Stegostoma tigrinum: one gene and its partner. The protein of the gene in region 2 purifies or fractionates together with the protein of the main gene of each other region. This does not show direct contact. Links are inferred from orthologs where the notes say so. Each region holds a gene or a part of one and is shown on either strand. Other genes may lie near its edges.

Region 1 (10,610 bases), on a different chromosome or scaffold from region 2:
CGTCTCTACGTATTTTAAGTGTACCATTTCACATGCTGACATGTTTTCCTGCTAATTCAGCTACCTTATCCATACGTCTTTGTAGCTTTCTTTGATCCTCACAATGACTTCCAAGTTAGTCTACACATCCTACATCAGCAAAATAAAGGAATGAAAGTTAAAAATGACTTGAAGAATAAGAGAAAAAATGTTTGTGTGAGGAAATAAAATTAGATTTTCTTCCTACGTGTATATGGACTGAATGAGATAGGTATTAAAGCTGAAAATCAAACTAAAATTGGTTTCATAGAAGTTATTTATTTACAGCTTTTTTTTATATATTCAAGAGATTTCAACCAACAGTTCTCATAATTACCTTCCCTCAAACAATTATTTTATTTAAACACCAGGTTAAACACAAATATGAAACAAAATATTTACATTCATACAAAATTATTAAATTCCAAAAGATTACTTGGCAAAAAAATATTTTTATAATGAATTTTCTTTCATTTGCCATACTTTGTTCCCCTTTAGTTTAATAGTTTACAACTTTTATAATATAATTTTTACTATGTTATGTATTGCATTCTGTCATAATCATATGTTTTAGAGGTATAGCTTTTTAGTATTAGAAATTAAATTTTAAATGTAAATTTCACAGAGAAAACCCTGCTAAGTATCTAGAGGCTAGAAGGTCACAAAAGATTAATAGAATTACAATTCAAAAGATAATTTATGTTTACTGGATACAATCACAGTTAAAGCAGTGAAAGTAATAACAAAATGGGTAAGCTAATGTAGCGAAAATACTGGAGGCTTGCTATCTCCAATTATTCTATTGAATATATGCTATTTCCCAAAATTGAGGAAATCTTTGGAATTGAAAAGGTATTTACCATATCCACCCAGAACAAGGCTGTCTGTGTTTCAGAAGTAGGTGGAGCTTAGTGAGTTTCTTTGCTGTGAGTTATCTTAGGACTTAACCAGCAGGAAAGATGGGTTCACAAAATCAGTTCAGAGACTGCGTCAGCTTCAGCTTTTACATAGCTGCCTGGAATGTGAAAGCTAAAAGCAGACCTAAATCTGAAGTAAATGTTATGCCAAGGGTAAATCCTTCAAGCCAGCGTTTGCGTAAGCACACAGTTCTTTAGAGACAAAGATCCTTCATAAGCACGGTGTTACTTTGTGAAAACGCTCTTTGTAAGAGGTGTAGCCAGTCCAGACCAACTACCTGCCCAAGCAAGGTAGCCACATTGGCCGATGCCAACAAACTTGATCAGTGCATACAAGTGGGCTACATTCTGAGGGACACATTAAAGCCTGAGACAGCTGGCACCAAGGTAAAGTGGGGAAACACCACTGCTGAAGTTAGGAGTTTGTTCAGTTACAGGACCTTCCTAGTGTCTCAATGCATGTAAATATAATCCTGTATGTGTAAGAGATGCCTTTGGTTTATTGGGATAGAGTCAAACTCTCATCCCTGCCTCCTTGACCAAACACAACCTGTTTATCTCCTCTCCCACCAATCCACCCCACCCATCCCACAGACCAATCCCTACTACTCCTACCTGCACTCACCTATCATTATCCCGCCTACCTTCCCCAGCCCCATCCCTGTTCTCTCTATTTACTTCCCAGCTCCCTTCCCCCTCCCTGTTTCTGAAGAAGGGTCTGACCTGAAACGTCAACTCTCCTACTCTTCTGATGCTGCCTGGCCTGACGTGTTCCTCTAGCTCCACAGTGTTATCTCTGACTCCACCATCTGCAGTTCTTGCTGTCTCAAATGTTTGCAGGAACAAAAACAAAGTTGCTGGAAAAACTCAGCAGGTCTGGCAGCATCTGTGAAGGACAAATCTGAGTTAACGTCTCGGATCTCGTGACCCTTCCTCAGACCCTTCCTTGGATTACCGGACTCGAAACGATAACTCTGTTTTCTCTTCCACAGATGTTGCCAGACTTGCTGAGCTTTTCCAGCAACTTTGTTTTTGTTCCTGCTTTACAGCATCCACAGTTCGTTCAGTTTCAAATGTTGGCATGTTGACTTGATATGTTGCTGTCCAGAACTAAACTGCATTTATGACAATGTATACGTACAAAGAGATTTTTTGTGAATAAAGTATATTTTTGAAATTAAAAAAAATGCAAATGGGAGAGAAATCAAAAGGGTCCTGCACTCAAAAAGGGGTAGAACAAGTTCAAATAGAAGTGGATTAGATAGTATGGAGTATAGAATGAAACTTAAAGGGTGTCATTGTTTCGGGGCACTGGAATAGTCCTGTGGAATAGAGGAAGGAAAGTGGAATGCAGAGAAGGGATACAAGAAGGATGGGGGACAAGAAAGAGTGGGAGCAGTATAATTAAAGTGGGGAAGACAAGTGTGATTGGGTCCCCCATATCCTCACTTTTCATCCCAACATCCTCTGCATTCAAAGGATCATTCTCCATAATTTCAGACAATCCCAGAAAAATGCCACCACCAAACATATCTATCCCTCACTCCCGCTGTCTGCATTTCAGAGGGATCGTTCCCTTTAGAAAACCCGAGTCCATTCATTGACCACTGACACGATATCCCCTTCCCACGGCACCTTCCCCTGCAACCGCAGAAGGTGCAACACCTACCCTTTCACCTCCTCCCTGCTCACCATCCAAGGGCCGAAACAGTCTTTCCAGGTGAAGCAGCATTTCACCTGTACATCCTCCAATCTTGCCTATGCTACATTGGAGAAACCAAATACCCAGTGTGACTGCTTTGCCGGACACCTCAGATCTGAGTGCAAACATTATCTTAACCTTCCCATAGCTGGTTATTTTAACACAGCGTCCTACTCACATGCACACTTATCTGCAATATTCCAGTGAATCGCAGCGCAAACTGGAGGAACAACATCTTATCTTCAGACCACGCACTTTATAGGTTCCTGGACTTAAGATTGAGTTCAACACCCTCAAATTGTGAACCAACACCCATTCCTTCCCTTTCTTTTAGTTTACTTGTTACATTCTCTTGTCACCATGTCTTCTCTTCCCTCCCTCCACCTGGAGTTTCTGGGAGTTATCAGCTTGGTTTCAGTTTTAAACCATAGCAATAGGCTTTGGAAACCAAGAGCACAGTCTGATGCTTAAATCCAGTACCCCTAGGAGGCAGATGAAGACATGCGCAGAGCTGTGGAATCCAGAGCTGTGAAATGAAAAAAATTGGATAGCAGTTTAGCCAAAAGGACCCTTTGAAATGTTGTATCTCATCAAATAGCTGGAACACTGAAGTCAGAGTCACTGCTGGAAAGCGGTGAAATACATTTTTTCTGTTAATTCCAGGAATAAGGAATGAGCTTTAAAGGTAAATTGGGAGCAATTAGAATGTTCAGTAGCAATGAGTCTGGAGCACGAGTCTTTGTATGCTATCATCTTGTTAGTTATGATTGCTTTAACACTTCTTGATATACAGTAAATAATTGCTATTGTTTAAAAGCTGAAGGTTGTGGGAAGCGAGGGCAGTGATTGCTGGGTCCCTTGCTGAGAAACTTGTATCATTGATAGCCACAGCTGAGGTACCAGAAGACTGGAGGTTGACTAAAATTGTGCCATTATTAAAGAAAGGAGGTAAGGATAAGCCAGGGAATTGGTGAGCCTGATACCAGTGGTGGGCAGGTTCTCAGAGAGGATTCTTAGGGACAGGATTTACACCTATTTGGAAAGGTAAGGGCTGATTATGGATAGTCAACATGGTTTTGTGCGTGGGAACCATGACTCACTAACTCGATTATAGTTTTTTGAGAAAGAAAACGTGACTGAGGATTGATGAAGGCAGAGGAGTGCACGTTGTCTAAATGGAGTTCAGTAAGGCATTTAACAAGTTTAGATCACACGATAAAAACAGAAAGAACTGCCAATGCTGTAAATCAGCAACAAAAACAGAAGTTGCTGGAAAAGTTCAGCAGGTCTGGCAGCATTTGTGAACGGAAATCAGAATTAACGTTCCGGGTCGAGTGACCCATCCTAGAAAAATATTAATTGGCTTTAAAAAGCTGTACAACACCCGACAGCAATGCAAAATGGGATACAAATGTATTTTGGAGATAATAGGAACTGCAGACGCTGGAGAATCTGAGGTAACAAGGGGTAGAGCTGGATGTTTCTTTACAAGTGCTGCTGTCAGTGCAGTTTTTTTCCTTCGTTCACCTTCCTGGACCTCTCAGTCTCCATCTCAGGCAACCAGCTTGTAACTGATGTCCATTTCAAGCCCACCGACTCCCACAGCTACCTAGAATACATTTCCTCCCACCCACCCTCCTGCAAAAATTCCATCCCCTATTCCCAATTCCTCCGCCTCCGCCGCATCTGTTCCCACGACAAGACATTCCACTCCCGCACATCCCAGATGTCCAAGTTCTTCAAGGACCGCAACTTTCCACCCACAGTGGTTGAGAACACCCTTGACCGCGTCTCCCGCATTTCCCACAACACATCCCTCACCACCCGCCCCCGCCACAACCGCCCAAAGAGGATCCCCCTTGTTCTCACACACCACCCCACCAACCTCCGGATACAATGCATCATCCTCCGACACTTCCGCCATCTACAATCCGACCCCACCACCCAAGACATTTTTCCATCCCCACCCTTGTTTGCTTTCCGGAGAGACCACTCTCTCCGTGGCTCCCTTGTTCGCTCCACACTGCCCTCCAATCCCACCAACACCTGGCACCTTCCCCTGCAACCGCAGGAAGTGCTACACTTGCCCCCACACCTCCCCCCTCACCCCTATCCCAGGCCCCAAGATGACTTTCCATATTAAGCAGAAGTTCACCTGCACATCTGCCAATGTGGTATACTGTATCCATTGTACCCGGTGTGGCTTCCTCTACATTGGGGAAACCAAGCGGAGGCTTGGGGACCGCCTTGGAGAACACCTCCGCTCGGTTCGCAGTAAACAACTGCACCTCCCAGTCACGAACCATTTCAACTCCCCCTCCCATTCTTTAGATGACATGTCCATCATGGGCCTCCTGCAGTGCCACAATGATGCCACCCCAAGGTTGCAGGAACAGCAACTCATATTCCGCTTGGGAACCCTGCAGCCCAATGGTATCAATGTGGACTTTACCAGCTTCAAAATCTCCCCTTCCCCCACCGCATCCCAAAACCAGCCCAGTTCATCCCCTCCCCCCACCGCATCCCAAAACCAGTCCAACCTGTCTCTGCCTCCCTAACGTGTTCTTCCTCTCACCCATCCCTTCCTCCCACCCCAAGCCGCACCTCCATTTCCTACCTACTAACCTCATCCCACCTCCTTGACCTGTCCGTCTTCCCTGGACTGACCTATCCCCTCCCTACCTCCCCACCTATACTCTCCTCTCCACCTATCTTCTTTTCTCTCCATCTTCGGTCCGCCTCCCCCTCTCTCCCTATTTATTTCAGAACCCTCACCCCATCCCCCTCTCCGATGAAGGGTCTAGGCCCGAAACGTCAGCTTTTGTGCTCCTGAGATGCTGCTTGGCCTGCTGTATTCATCCAGCCTCACATTTTATTATCTCGGATTCTCCAGCATCTGCAGTTCCCATTATCTCTTCCTTCGTTAAGATTGGTTTCTCGTGGAACTAGGATAGTAATTACAAACGCAACCGATAATCGCTTTCAGTGAAATTGCACCGCGCATCTACGTCCTGTAGCCGGTATCCATCACTTATTCTTTGCGTAACTTTCTCAGATATATCTAGAGCAGAACAAGTTTTTCCATGACTGTCGGAACCTCAAGTTGCACAATTAGCATGAACACTGCGTAAACGTCTTTACTCGGTGGATTCTTTCAGAAATAAAGAGTTGAAGCGGCACTGACGATAGCCTATGTGTTTCCCGTAAAAGGCGTGGTTTCCAGCCGAGTTTAGGCTGCGCAGTGACTGATCATGAAGGGCGGAAGAGTCGTAAATTTGGGGAATTCCTGTGAGGAAGTGACAGACGGAACAGCTTTCTCTCTCTCTCTCTCTCTCTGCCGTGGTGTTTACACACCTTTTCGCTCCAGCACTGTGTGCGCGAGGTTGAGCTATGCGGGAGGGGGCGTTCTCCTGTGAAAATGTTTAGTTTCTTTTGGCGCTGACGCTGTTCTCCAGCAATGGGCAAACATCTGAGACTGCATTGAGACAGAGCTAGGGAGAAATAGAGAGCAATAAACAGCGCTGAGCGATTCAGCAGTTATGGAGTCTTCCAGGGGGAGCAGTTTCTCGAGTATTTCGTCCATCCTGGACGTGGTTCCCTATCAGAAGTTGGTGGATCTGCATTATATCAGCAAGGGAAGCTATGGCGTGGTGTTCAGAGCCCAGCACAGCGACTGGAGGATGACTGTGGCAGTCAAGTGTCTACAGTTCGACTCTCCAATGGATGAAGGGTATGCTATTGATGGTACTTGAGAGCATGGAGGAGAGTTATAATTACACGAGTTTGAAAATAGTTTGTATAATATCTTTACCAACACGTATTAACAAGGAAGCAGAGAAGTGTTGTGATGCACCTTTGTCCGAAGAACATAAAGTAGGGCTTGCATTACTGAAGGGGGCACAGGAGCTGAGAAATTTGCATTTCTATGTGCATTGGAGAAGGTAGGGCAGGTGGAGAGAGCAGTGAATAATAGGCTGTCTGCTGTGGGGTTGACGATTCACAACAACCAAACCTCATGCTGTACTGGTGCCTTGCCCTTCCTGCCTCTTCAGAGATAAGATTGACTATCTCAAGGTACCCTCTCCCTCGTCAGCCCTGGACCAGGAGAGGGCTTTGACAGGATATTGCATACGAATGTGTGGGATGTGCTGTCCAAATTGGACTTTGGGGAGGGAATCCACACTTGGATTGGACTGCTGTACATCAACATAAGTAAAACAGTCTCAATCGATGGGTTGAAGTCAGAAAGCTTCCTGATCAGATTGGAAGTCAGGCAGGGCTGCCCATTGTCTCCTGCCTTGTTTGTCTGTTGTATAGAGCCTTTTGCTAAATCCATCAGGAAGGATGTCAGCCTGGGAGTAGGGGGTACAAACATGATCATTTTCTATTCAGATCAGCTGTCAGCATGTAGACTTGTGAGCATCAGTGACCAGTTCGAACTAGCCTTGGGAGCCAAGGTAAATCGAGGCAAGAGTGAGGTTGTTTTCTTTCGAAACTTTATCCCCTTTGCCTTCATTTCAGGTTACCTGAAGGTGGTGGGAATGTGTTTGGAGGAGCTGGGGTGTGTGCAAAAACTTGAGAGGAGTGTAGCACCAAGGTGATGCAGAAACTAGGCAGATGTGAGCACCACTCCATATCCGTTACAGGTAAAATCTTGGGAATCAGGTGGGAGGCACTCATGGTGTTGTAGCATTTGGTGCAGATCTGGCCCATTTGCAGAACCTGCACCTCAGTGGGCACCCGAGCCATCTTCTATTTTTTTGGAGCTGAAAGTTGGATTGTGTCCACAGGGACACAATGTATAAACCTCTCTAAGGGGCACGAAATGGATGTACCCAACACTGCCCTCATCCTGATGACCACCTTTTGTGTGCAGCTGCATCAGGCCGTGCGTAGACCCTCGGTACGCAAACACCACATGTCGTTGTGTGCTGATGTTCGACCTGTGCCCAGTGTTACAAAGGCTGGGCCTGGCCTTGTTGCCATGGAATGTTCCACAGCGTCTGCGTTTCATGGCGAAAAACTTACAAAGAAAAACACCAATGACTACAAGCCCGTCAGAAAATGGTCAGCATTTAGCATCCTCGAGACTCAGCAGGAAAAGGAGGTGATCCTGTCGCATAGTTCCCTGAGTCGACTGTCAAAGTCATTTGACAGAATGCCTCATCGCCAGAACTTTCCAACAAGCCCCAATGTGGGAAGAAAGGCACTACCTGTGAGATTTTTTATGTGGGCTCTGACTCAGTGCCACTGCACACCACCCTGAGGGGTGGTTAAAGAGATGGAACAACATAGTCACTCCTATTCCTCTGGAGTGTACCCGTGCAAAGAAGATCTGGAGACAGATACAGTGATTTTTGTCAAGGTTCATCCCGAGCAGTTCCATGACACACAACTCTGTGTTCGTAGGTTATAGAATCCCTACAGTGTGGAAACAGGCCCTTCGGCCCAACGAGTCCACACCACCTCTCAGAGCATCCCAACCAGATCCATCCCTCATAATCCACCTAATCTATACATCCCTGAACACTACGGGCAATTTAGCATGGCCAAACCACCTAGACTGTACACCTTTGGAAGGAAACCAGAGCACCCGGGGGAGACCCGCACGTGGAGAATGTGCAAACTCCACACAGTCACCTGAGGGTGGAATCGAACCTGAGTTCCTAGCTGTGAGGCAGCAGTGCTAACCGCTGAGCCACTGTGGGTTCTGTGAGTTATTCTCCAGAACGCGCACTGAGACAAACGTCAAGTGTGCGTGGAGGAGCATCAACTCAGTGAAAGATGCTCTTTGGTCTTCCCAAAACTAGTTGATCTTCTAGTGTAAAGATTGGCTTGACAGAATGTTGCAGACCAGTGTGTGCCAAGCCCCAGATCTACGTGCTGAGGGACACACTCAAGTTTGGGCCAGCTTCTTCCAAGGCAGTGGGGAATCTCTACTGTCTGACATCTTTCTGCCAAATTATAATGATGGTCCATTCAGTGCCATAATAACCCTTTGTCAAAATTAGGTAAATAGTTTCCTATGTGTTTAGAAAAGGCTTTTGTTTTGCGACTGCAGGGAAGCTCTGAGGAATGTTAATTTCCAATGTAATGTTTGTTCCTTTTTCTTTGCAAAGACTGTATGGAACTGTTTTAGGACCCTTTGTACATACTTCTAGATTTTTTTTTAAGAATAAAGTATGGTATATTTAATAAAAGAAAATAGGGTAGAAGGCACATAGTGTACAAGAGCAGAGAGGTGATGTTGAACTTGTACAAGACACTTGTTAGATCTCAGCTGCAGTATTGTGAATAGTTGTGGGTGCCACATAATAGGAAAGATGTTTATGCATTAGAGAGTGTGTAGGGGCTATGTGATTAGAATGGTTTCAGGAATAAGAAATTTCAGCTATGGGGATAGATTGAAGATGCTGGTACTGTTGTTCTGGAGAGAAGCAAAATCATTGGCAAACTGGATAGAGTAGAAACAGTGAAGCTGTTTTATAAGAGAAACAAGAATGAGAGGAATGGTTTCAAGTGATGTGAAAGCGATGTGAGGAAAAGACATTTTCATACAGTGAATAGTTACGGTATGGAATGCATTGTTTGGAAGCATGGAGGAGGCAGGTACAATTGGGGAATTCATGAGGGTATTAGATGGATCTTTTGGGCCATAATTTTGTGCAGGGATATGGGGAGGAGATAGGAGATTGCAACTGGCAAGTTGGCAACAGCATAAGTCGCTCCATTTGGAGCTCCACTCTACTCGCCAGTTCTCTTTCCTTTTCCTTTCTTTTTCTCTTCTCTCTCCTCTCTGCTATAATTCTAGCCCCTGAGACTCTGCACTTTAAACCACCAACCTGAGGAGTCGGATCGCAACTGGGAATGCTCAGGTCATGTCCTGCAGCGATGGCTGGCCAAGAATGGGCTGGTTTGGCGGTGAAGTTGTAGGCGGCGGTGAGAGTGGGGCTGGTGAGAGGAAAGCAGTCGGGGTGCCCTAGCGATTGGACCGGTGCCTGCATCATTGTGGAGATGGGACTCTGAGATCTGGACTTCTTCACTTACTTACCTTTTTATTTTTGTTAAAATCTTTTAATTCTGGTTTCTGTAACCAAATGGGTGCTGGTGAATGGCATCTTTGTACACTTTTTGCTGTAATTATGTATTCCTACATTTAGGGCATGTGACAAACGAATAAATAAAACTGAATGTTGGTAGTAGAGTTGGTACAGGCTGACCTACCTCCTTCTGCAATAGGATTCTGTGAATTGTTTGAAATATGATGTGAATTTATGCGAACGTTGATTTTTTTTTTAACGTGTGTTTTGTGATGCATGAGACATTGTGGAATGAGTAGTTGGTCAAGCATTGAAAGCATACAATTTGTAAGATGCCACATCGATTCCATGTGAAATCGCCACCGATTATTATTTATGCTTTCACAGGATGTGTATGTCACTGGCTAGGCCAATATGTGTCACTCATTCATTCTTAATTGTCATTAAACTGAATGAGTGTTTGACTATTTCAGAGGTCAGTAAGATTGCTGAGGATCTGGATTCAAATATAAGAATGACCAGGTGAGAATAGTTGATTTCCTTGCCTCATGAAAATTTACGAACCAATTGGATTTTAAAACAATTGTTGATAATTCTCATGCCCACCATTACTGAGACTAGCTTTGAATATTGCAAACTTATGAACTGAATTTGAAGTTTCATCAGCTGCCATTGTAGAATTTGAAGCCTGAATCTCTGGATTACTAACCCATATTCCTTTTTGAGTCATTCGTGGCCAACTGTTGAAGTTATAACTTTGTGCATTCAATATTTTGCTACATCTGCAGCAATTAACATCAAGAGTTTGAAAAATCAATTGATTTGAAATTGGAGCCAAAGATATTTGTGATCAGTGTTTGGAGATCACAATTTTGCGCAAGATAGTGCACTAATCAGTTTGTTTGTGCCATAATTCAAAGCTAATTGAAAGTT
Region 2 (11,158 bases):
AACTAAAGTGTTTCCAGTTTTACATAAATAGAAACGTTGTTTCTGTGGACATGTGCAGCGATAAGAACATTTTGCGTTATGTTGGTTTAAAAGAAGCTATGTACTGTTATACTAACTACTTCCTCTAAGGGAGGGGTTTATGCAAAGTAAAGTGTTCCTTAAGCTTCTTTTAAAGAGACACAATATCTAAAGATAGTTAAAAATTAGGTAGGAAGAAACTGTTCCCTTTGGTGGAAGGATTGAGGATTATTTACACTGATTTTAAGTGACTGGCAGAAGTGTCAATAACACGAGGAAAAGATTTATTTACTGCAGCAAGTGGTTAGGATCTGGGATGCAATGTCTGAGGGTGTGGTGGATTTAGCTATAGATGTTACCTTTGGAAGAAAATTGTTTGGTTATCTGGGGCGGGGGGGGGGGGGGGGTGGTGGAATACAAAGTGCAATAATTTAGGAAACCCAACTGTTTAACACCAGAATAGAGCAGTGGCTCAGCCTGTTTGTTTTCTGTTATATCCAGGAGTACTGTGACACTCAATTAAACAATTTCCCACCACCAAATCACGGTCGTTGTTTTTATATAAACTAATAGCCACCACCTGTAATCACCCATGTAGGCTGGGTCTGCTTTTATTCTACTTTTTTGAGTTTTTTTGTTTGTCTTTCTAATATCTTTTCTATTTATCCACACATCTGAATGAATTTCCTACCATCAGATCACCGTAGTTTTTTTTTATTTTGGATCCTTTTAAAACTGTTAACCACCACCAGTAAAATCACTTGTGTAGCCAATTAAATATTTAAAAGCAAGGCCTATTATGGGCAATGCGAGTCATTAAAATAAAAGGGGAGTAGGGAGAGATAGAAGGGGCTGGGTCTGGTTTTGTAAATAATTTAGAGCTGGGCTGGCCTAGCCTATGTCTAATATCAAGGGAACTCATACTGACTGAGCTCCCTAAGTAGTTTAATTAGTGATTCCCTATGGGCCTGAAGGGAGTTACCCGCAGAGCTGCCAGGGAGTGGCACTTTTAAAATGCTCTCACAAACAGCTGACATAGATACAATGGTCTGAATAGCCTCCTGACATGCTGTAAATATTTTATGATGTTGTAATATTACATATTGAGAGAGAAAATCCAGAGGCTGTTTATTACATTAGCATATTCAAGTGACATGATAGTCAGTTTGATGAAAGTCCAGCACCACAGGTGATGCTAAAGAAAAAAAAAGTTTTTGAAATGATCTTTTGAGATTTTAATGTTCTCCATTTAAATGCTCAACATCTTCATCCTTTGGAACCCCTTGATGTGAAACACACTGTAGATTCACAGATTTTTAAGATTCATTTACAGTGAATAAATGGTCAATATTTTACACAATAATCAAATCTGTTCTGGAATCAACAAATCCCCATGGTGCAAGTAGAGGCTATTTGGCCCATCAAATCTGCACAGACCCTCCAAACATGACCCCCATGCTCCAACCCTATCCCTGAACTTGCATTTACCACAGCTAACACACCTAGCCTGTAAAACTGTGGATGTGATGGGGCAATTTTGCATGGCCAGTCCTCCTAATACATCTGCATTTTGATGATGGGAAGAAACTGGACAACTGGAGGAAACCCATGCAGAGACAAGGAGAACTTCGCACAGACAGTCACCCAAGGCAGGAATCAAACCTGGATTTTAGAGGGTGTTTAGTGACGGCAGGTGGTTCCACAGTGCGTAGCCATTACTGCCAGAGGGTCCCCACTGTGGGCCAGGAAATTGACCCTCCCCTGGAGCCTACTGCGAGGCTGCTGGCTTTCACTGGATGGTCAACCCAAGTGATGGCAGCTCCTTAGCAGCTAAATTGGTCTCTCACTGAGTAGCCTGTCTGCCAGCTTTCTAGGCAAAATGGCATTGTGGAGAGCAGGTGACAGGCACCCCTCTCCTTACATATTCCAGCATCATCTTCCAGTCATCCTGTGTCCCAACCTGTTGTCAAGATAACATTCTTTGGCTTTAAAATCGTAAAGTAGCTGTTTAGTCTACTATGTTCACACTGTTGGCTTTTTACCGAATGAGTTCAAGTCAGTTTCTAGATCAGCAACAACAGGTAGCAAAGGCAAGGGCAATTGTGAAGAATCTGTGTTACAGGGTGCAGCCCTCTCCAAGTCCTGTTTAGCTGGATTCATATGCTTCAGTCAGCGGATCGCATGGAGACAACTGGTGGTGAGTTTAACCTAAGAGTCATTATGCCTCAGGCAAGGGACAGGGTTGAAAAGGCAGGGTTTTCATGATGGGCTCAGCCAATACAAGAACTGAACCCATTCTGTTGGCATCACTCTGAATTACAAATGAGTCATCCAGCCAATTGAGTGAAACGATCCAAGACATCAATCCACCGAACATACATAAAAAAGACTTTATTTGGACTTTTAAAACTATTTAATTTGTCCTGCCTCTTTGTAACTTCATTGTGTTGGTGAGTGTAAACACTTGAATGCATGGTTTCGATTTTCATCCCCAGGGGAATGGCGCAGAGTTGCATGAAATCCTGGCTACATCAATGTGATGTTGATATATGGTGAAGATAGAGTCAGGCCAGGAGACCCGGTAAGAGCTGAAGAACTTGCCCAGTTCTTGAGATAGGCCAATAAATGAGGCCATTTAGGGGAGGCGATGGCCGAAGTGGTATTATTACTGGACTGTTAATTCAAAGACCCAGATAATGTTCTGGGGACCTGGGTTTGAATCCTACCACAGCAGATAGTGGAATTTGAATTCAATAAGTATCTGGAATTAAGAATCTAATGATGACTGTCGACTGTCAGGAAAAACCCATCTGGTTCACTAATGCCCTTTTGGGAAGGGAGCTGCCACCCTTGCCTGGTCTGGCCTACATGTGACTCCCGACCCACAGCAATGTGGTTGACTCTTAACAATTAGGAATGGGCATAAATGCTGCCTAGCCAGCTGCACCCTCATCCTGTGAATGAATAAAGAAAAAAAGTATCGATAGACGGAAAAAAAAACTAAAGGACCAAACACGCTGCTGGACATGCAGTATACATCCCTAATCAGGGAGAGAAAGAGGATCAAATACGCAATCAAATTTCAGAGAAGTGTATGATTAATATGGCCTTAAGAGTAGGGCATTTCAATTATCCAAATATTAACTAAGGTAATGTGCAAAGTAGAGAGGGAGAATAATTCTTAAATTGCACACAGGAGAACTTTTAAACCAGTACGTTGGAAATTCAACAAGGGAAAGGACTGTTCTGACTTGATATTTAGAAAGGAGCTTGGGCAGACAGAAGTCTTGTCAATGGGGAATATTTTGAAGAGAATGATCATAACTCAGTCAGATTTAAGATAGTTACAAAAAACAAGTTTGAGGAATCAGTTAAAGTTCTAAACCAGAAAACGGTTATTTTGCTGTACTATTTGGTAGCCAAATGCAATGGGAGCAGTTCGTTTTAGATAAAACTGTGTCAGATCGGTGGGAGGCATTCAAGGACGAATTGGTAGCAGTACAGGGCAAATACGTTCCTATAAAGATAAAGCAAAACTTTTCATAATGCCTCTCAATGTCAATCTACAGCAGGTGGACTGTTGTGGTTCAAAAAGGCGGCTCACTATCACCCTCTCAAGGGCAACTAAGGATGGACAATAAATACTGGCCAGCCAGCAACAATCCACATCTCAAAAATGAATAAAAATATTTCAGAGTCAAACATGAAATGATTGTAACATGTTTCAGCCAAATGAATCTCAAAGAATATGAATTCTCTGACTGGGGCTGTTAATCTGGTCCAACCAGGAAGCCTTGCCTGACAGGTACAAACAGAAGTGTGAGACGCTGCTTGGCCTGCTGTGTTCATCCAGCTTCACACTTTATTATCTCGGATTCTCCAGCATCTGCAGTTCCCATTATCACTGTTAGAGGTTCTGTGCACTCTGAGAGTTGACTCTGGGAAGCCAGACCAGTGTCAAGAACTATGCACATGTTAACAACGAGTAACTTGGTGATGGAATACTGGTATCCAAAGCAGCTTATTTAAAATATAAATAAATCTTGAGACTTAATTTACAGTCATTATTAACTAGTACATTCTCCATGACAACACCTCTATCAAATAGAGTCCATTTTGCCAACCAATTAGCATTCTCGTTTTGAATGATGTTTTCTATTTAATCTGGTACATTGTGCAAACTGTCTTGATGAGTGCAAAAAGAAAAGCTTCCACAAAATATGTCTTCTTTCAACAATATGTTTCAGGTAATAAACAAAGTTAAGAACAAAGAACAATACAACACAGCAATAGGCCCTTCGGCCCGCCAAACCTGCACCAACACATTTTCCCTGCCATATAAAACTGTCTTCTCTTACAGGATCCAATATCCCTTTCTCCCTTTCCTTTTCATATATTTGTCCAGGTGACTCTTGAATGCTGCTATTGTGTCTGCTTCCACCAGATCCTCTGGCAGAGCATTTCAGGCATTAATCACTCTTTTTGTGAAAAACTAGCCTTGCACATCTCCTTTAAACTCCCCTTCACCCTATGTCCCAACACTTTGAACCTGGGTCCCCTAGTAATTAACCCCTCCACCCTGGGAAACAGCATCATACCTATCCACCCTATCCATGAAGGTTGGGACCCTTCTTCAGAAAAGTGACATTTGTGTGACTTTTGAATGTTAATGGGATGCTCTCCTGCTTGCTGAACCATACTTGATAAAATAACCAGAATGAGAGGACAATGTTGATAAGGTGAGTGCCAAGCTGCCAAAAATAGTAATCTGAGAATGTTCACATTTGTATCAGTTTTGCTTTATGGTTTTATGAAAGTTTGTTCCTCATGCCAATTACTGAAGGCGTTTACTTAGGGAAATGTTTGTTACCAAGGTCATGCCCAAAGCATTCTGTGGTCACAAAGTGCTCATTGCTCAATCTTGCCTCAGCTTCTCCATATTTCCATCTATCTTCCCACTTTTAGCCGCTCCAACTTTGCTATTCAAAATCTCTTTTGTTTAGTCTGCATCCATCTTAGTCTAAGGTGGGCAGCACAGGAATTTTCTGAGGATATTCCACTGCAAAACAGATATACTGCTTTGAATGCTGTTGGGGGATTGACCTCTCAGGGTAAACCAGCAACAGCCAAATTTATTGCAGCACAGTTGTTTCTGCTGCACAGGAAAGGAGGAGAAAGTGTGGGAATGCAATAATTGTAGGGATTGAATTGTAAGAGGAATAAACATGTGTTTCTGTGGCAGAAAACGAGACTCCAGGATGGTACGTTGCTTCCCTAGTACCAAGATCAAGAATGTCTCAATACAGCTAGAGGACATTCTGGAGGGTGAGGGTAAACATCCAGTGGTCATGGTACAAATTGTGTCAGTGACATAGGTTATGAAAGGGGTGAGGTCTTAAAAGCTGAGCTGGGCCAAAAGACCGCAAAGTGGCAGATGGAGTTTAATTTACATAAATGTGAGGTGTAGCATTTTGGTAAGACTAACAAGGGCAGGACTTATAGAGTTAATGATAAGGCGCTGAGAGTATTGTCAAATAGAGAGGCCAAGGGATTCAGTTACATGGTTCCTTGAAAGTAGTGACACAGTTAGGCCGGGTGGCGAAGAGGGTGAAAGGCACACTAGCTTTCATCGTTCAGAGTAGTGAGTTGGGACATTATGGTAAGGCTGTAAGGATGTTGGTGCTCACTATTGGAGTACTGTGTACAGTTCTGGTCATCCTGCTATAGGAATGATATTATTAAATTGGAGACGGTTTAGAAAGCATTTACCAGGATGTTGCTGGGACCGGAGGCTGGGACCTGGAGATGGATAGGCTGGGACTTTTTCCCTGGACATTCAGAGGTTGAGGGGTGACCATAGAGAAGTTAATCCATTCATGAAGGGCATAGATAAGGTGAATAGCCAAGGTCTTTTTTCCTAGGGTAGGGGAGTTCAGAACCAGAGGGCATAGGTTTAAGGTGAGAGGAGAAAGATTGAAAAGGGACCTGAGGGGCAATTTTTTCACACAGAGGGTAGTCTGTGGAATGATCTGCCAGAGGAAGTGGTAGATGCAGGTACAGTTACAACATCTAAAAGACATTTAGACAGGTACATGGATAAGAAATGTTTAGAGGGATATGGGTCAAATGCAGGCAAACTAGTTTAGTTTGGGAAACCTGGTCGGCATGGATGAGTTAGACCGAAGGGTCTGTTTCCGCGCTGTGTGACTGTATAACTCGGAATCCTGTGAACTGGCCAGCTTGTCTGACCTCTGCAGCCCTCCTTGGGTTACCATACCACAATGCGTTCTGAGTAGAGCAGTTGTTTGGGAGTTTGGCATTAGGTTATGAAGGACATGGACTGTCCAGTCAAGCTGGTTTGGAATAATTAGTACCTCAATTCTGGGCCTGTTGGCTTGGGAGAGCATGCTGCTGTGGAACCACCTATGTTGCCACGGGATTTGAAAGATCCTGCAAAAGCATCTCTGGTGGTTCAATTCTGGTGCTTTGAAATGTCGGGGAGTGCCAGAATAGGAGTATTTCTCCATGCAGTAAAAGCTAAGCTACCATGTCCTATTCATTCATGCTCAGTTTTTCTTGCATGCCTACCTATTGCCAGCTTATATATTACAAAAATACTGTAAATCCTGCAGCTGGATACAAAAATCGAAACTCCTCAGAGCAAGTAATCAGTTCCAAAAATCTGCTTCCCCTGCCGGAAGTGTTGACTTGTCTTTTCTGCACAACGACAGACTGACGCCCTTCGGGTTATCTGATGTCAGCTTCCTCTTTCACAACTAATATAGGCCAGAAACTGGAGAGAGAGAGAGAAAGGGCAGTTTCTGAATTCTGACACGATGTTGACGGTCTTAGAATGATCTTAAGGAATGACTCAGCCTCCCTCTGACCTGAACGCCTTGTGAAACACCACTAGCCTTGCCTATTGAAACGTCGGGATGTTTTAGAACGGGTGGAAGTACCTCTCCGCGCCAGAAGGAAGTGGAGACGGAGATCATTATCTGATGTTGTTAATTGTGTTTCTGGGCCAGCAGCCACTGAGCATTGAGCCTCCCGCACCAGTTCGGAAAGGGTGCAGCTCTCAGACTGCCCCCGGCATCTACACCACAAGGGAAGTTCATTTGTGAGTTTACGAAGCCGCCGTGTGCAACTGGGAACAGCACAGAAAAGTAGAACCTCACATTCCACGAGCCTTGTTGTGGAATTTGAGATGTGATGAGAACATTGCTTAAGGTACCCCTAAGGTTCCACTGTACTCATTTATTACATGCCGTTATGAAAACTTCCTGCGTTGCTATTGACGGGGATGTGAAACTTTCAAAAACGTGCTAGCGATACCATACACAAAGTCAGAAGTACACCTGGAGTTATCTACCTGTAAAATCCTGTCACTGCTCAGCGCTGCTCTGCTCTTTGAAGGAAAGAGCCTTTTTGTAATGTTTTTGATGCTGGGTTCGGATTAGACGAATAAAACCGAAACTACTCTTTGCTGGGTAGCTCAGCGTGATGGCCCTCCGGAGGATTTAACATACGCAGAAAAAAATGTTTATTATGTTTATTTAGGGTTGTTTCGAAATAGCATTTTTAATATCAAAAATATACTTTATTGATTAAAAAATCTTTATATACATACATAGTGAAGCTGTTCGCTTCTGTGCAGTGGCATATCGAGAAACAAGCGGACAGTGATTTGTTTGATTCTATCCAGCAAACAAACCAAAGGCATTTCTTGCCTATACCAGATTATATTTACATACAGCAATTTCCAGCTTCATGGCAGCTCAATCTGTCTAGAACTCTGAAGATGAGGTTGTAGGTGAAAGTAAACTGAGCCTCACCCTGTTTAATTTGAGGGGTGAAAGTATGCCATCTTTAATCGAAACTAAATCGAGTTTGCATGCGTTCATTTTGTAAACTGGGGCAAAGAATCTAGCTGGTAGGGAGCGAATGACTATCTTTTTATTAAAGAAAGACATACGCGATGCATTTATGACCCACCCCTTATTGCCGTTGAGAGCAGTGTACAGGCACCTTGAACGGTTGTAGCCAGCCCGCGATGCTGTTGGAAAAGACATTCCAATGTATTGATTCAGTGACTGAAGCAGTGGTCGCTCCAAATCAAAATGTTGCGTGGCTTGGGAGCAAAATGCAATCATTGTGTATGTAGTGTAGTATGGAAACATTGGGCTTAGGAACCAAATGTTCTGCTACTGTTCCTAAGTGAGTTTTGAGAAGTTGATGATGTTACCTAGAATGGTGACGAAACGTCTGAAAACGAACGTTCCAGCTCAGCGAGCAAACTCACATCCAGAACTGTTTCTAAGTCCAATACTACACTGTATACACTATACTATACTACAGTAAAATGCTTTGGGATGTGCCGTATTTGTGAAAGGTTTGTATAAATGTGAGGTTTTTTTTGAATTGGGCATCTCATTAGTTGTTTAGGTATAATACAGCTGGAGCTGCAGGAGCACAGCAGGCCAGGCAGCATCAGAGGAATAGCAAAGCAGACATGGGACCCTTCAGAAATAGGGAGAGGTCAGGGAGCTCAGAAATAAGTAGAGGGGTGGGGCTGGGGAATGTAGGTGGCATGGTGATAGGTGAGTGCAGGTAGGCAATGGTGGGGATTGGTCAGTGAGGTAGAAGGGGTGGATAGGTGGGAGAGAAGATGGACAGGTTGTGTCAGGTCAAGGAGGTAGGGGTGAGAAGGACGGTTAGTCATGGGATGAGGAGATTTTGAAACTGGTAAAGTCCACATTGAGACCATTGGGCTGTAGGCTCCCAAGGTGGAATATGAGGTGCTGCTTTTCTAGTTTCCGCGTGGCGTCATTGTGACACGGGAGGACGCCCAGGATGGACATGACACACAGGGAATGGAAGAGGGAGTTGAAGTGGTTCGCGACTGAAAAGTGTTGTCATTTGTTGCGAACAGAGCGCTGGTGCTCTACAAAGCAGTCTCCGAGCCTCTGCTTGGTCTCACCGATGTAGAGGAGGCCACATTGGGTGCAGCAGATGCAATAGACCACATTGACAGATGTGTGTGTGAACCTCTGTCTGATGTGAAAGGTTTGTTTGATTGACCTTGATGTTGACCTGCTCCTCCCACCTCACTGACCAATCCCCACCACTCCCAACCTGCACTCACCTATCACCGTCCCACCTACCTTCCCCAGCCCCACCCCTCCTCTCTCTATTTATTTCTGAGATCCCTTTCCCATCCCCCATGTCTGAAGGAGGGCCCCAACCCAAAACATCAACTATCCTGCTCTTTGGATGCTTCCTGGCCTGCTGTGTTCCTTCAGCTCCACACTGTTATCTCTGACTCCAGTATTGGCAGTTCTTACTATCTCTGAGTTGTTTAGGTATATCTCGTTTTGGATTTTATCCGCATCCCATGAAATTAAATGCTTTCAGTTAACCTTTTTAATATATAACTGTGCTCCAATGCTTGGTCATCTCACTGATCCAATTTTGACCAGCATTAAAGAAGAAGAATAGGGAACAATAGATGAATGAAGATTGTGAAGCTCTGGTCAAGAATAAGGTATAGACCATTGGATTAAGTGAATCTCTTGAAGAGCATAAGGGATAGATTCACTGCCACCAATTGTTCTCATTTACTAATATCAATGGAGAAGGATACCCACACACAGTCTTTGACAGAAGGGAAGCAGTACCCGACCTCAGTAATGGATACTGCTGGGACTGGAGGCAGATGAATGAGGAAGACAGCCATGGACTCTGGAGTGAGGTAAATCAGTATGGGTTGGGATATTCAACAAACCAAGTGCCTACAGGCTTTCATGGACTATGAAAAACTATCTGACAGCATATACAGAGAGGTTGTTAACCCCAGGCCAGGAAATCTCAGACAGCTGTTAAGTTTCAGGCTAAGGGCGCGACCATTTAAGACTGAATGGAAAGAATTTCTTTATTGATAAGGTGGCATTTCTTTGGAATTTGCTACTAGGGATGATGTGAAGGCATCATCTTTGATTATATTTAAGACTGAGATGACGACAGTGTTTGGTTTTTCAGGGAACAGTGAGTAGAAGGGAAGTCTAATTGCAGCCCAAGACCTACTGTTGCAGAGGAGGCTTGATGGACTGTATTGCCTTCTCTTGTTCCTAATTCTTATGGTCTTAACTAACAAGAAATTATGCTGACACTGGCTGTCATGGGAAAATTACAATTATCTGGAAGCAGGAAACCTCACTATCTTTATTCAAAAACGATTTGAGATATGGAAATAACATCAGGGTGTGCACATGCCTACTTGTGTGGTGACAGTGAGTAACCTAGAAGATAATTGTTAGTATAGAATCAGTGCAGCATGTGCAGCAAGACGCCACTCAGTCCATTAAGTCTACATCGACCCTCTGAAGAGCACCCCACTATCCATGCACTGCCATGCCAATTCTCCTCATGCCTGTTTGGTTTCCTCTGGGTGCTCCAGTTTCTTCCCACAATTCAAAGATGTGCAGATTAGGTGAATTGGCCATGCTAAAATTCCTGTAGTGTCTAGGGATGTGCAGACTAGATGAATTAGCTAAGGTATTTGCAGGGTCACAGGGATATGGTGGTGGAGAGGGGTGGTGTGTGTAGGATGCTCCTTGGATGGTTGGTGAAACTTGATGGGCTCGCTATGGTTTTCTCTTCATTTGTTTACCAGGTGAAAAGGCTGGGCAGCACGGTGGTTTAATGGTTAGTACTGCTGCCTTGCAGTGCCAGGGAACCAGGTTTGATTCCATCCTCTGGTGACTGTCTGTATGGAGTTTGCACATTCTGTGTTTGGGTGGGTTTCTGCCTGATGCTCCGGTTTCCTCCCACTGTCCAAAAATGTGCAGGCTAGGTGGATTGGCCATGCTAAATTGCCCATAGTGTAGATTAGGTGTGTTAGCTATGGGAGATGCAGGATTACAAGGAAAGGGTAGGGGGATGGGTCTGGGTGGCATGCACTTTGGAGGGTTGGTGTGGACTTGTTAGCCTAAATAGTTCACCCTTCTTGTTTTCTTTGTAATAATAAGATTTTTATGGTTTTGCACATTTTTGCATTTCACTGAGTAAATTTAGTGGAAAGTTGATTTAATTAAGTAAAAGCTTATTGCAGTTGAAGACTTTAGTATTTTTGAAATTATGA

The links.
Region 1: the proteins of nod2 (region 2) and ripk2 purify together in Homo sapiens (affinity purification with western blotting; 12 studies listed by BioGRID and IntAct, with this or other methods). This does not show direct contact. The link is inferred for Stegostoma tigrinum from reciprocal best matches to the Homo sapiens genes NOD2 and RIPK2.

What each region holds. Positions count from the first base shown.
Region 1 is NC_081358.1:87,299,664-87,310,273, forward strand, and holds the start of ripk2 (receptor-interacting serine/threonine-protein kinase 2), read left to right. Parts: upstream 1-5,892; 5' UTR 5,893-6,176; coding exon 6,177-6,367; intron 6,368-10,150; coding exon of another isoform or gene 10,151-10,199; intron 10,200-10,610.
Region 2 is NC_081369.1:27,096,476-27,107,633, reverse strand, and holds the start of nod2 (nucleotide-binding oligomerization domain-containing protein 2), read left to right. Parts: upstream 1-6,756; 5' UTR 6,757-7,248; intron 7,249-11,158. UniProt on the Homo sapiens protein: Pattern recognition receptor (PRR) that detects bacterial peptidoglycan fragments and other danger signals and plays an important role in gastrointestinal immunity.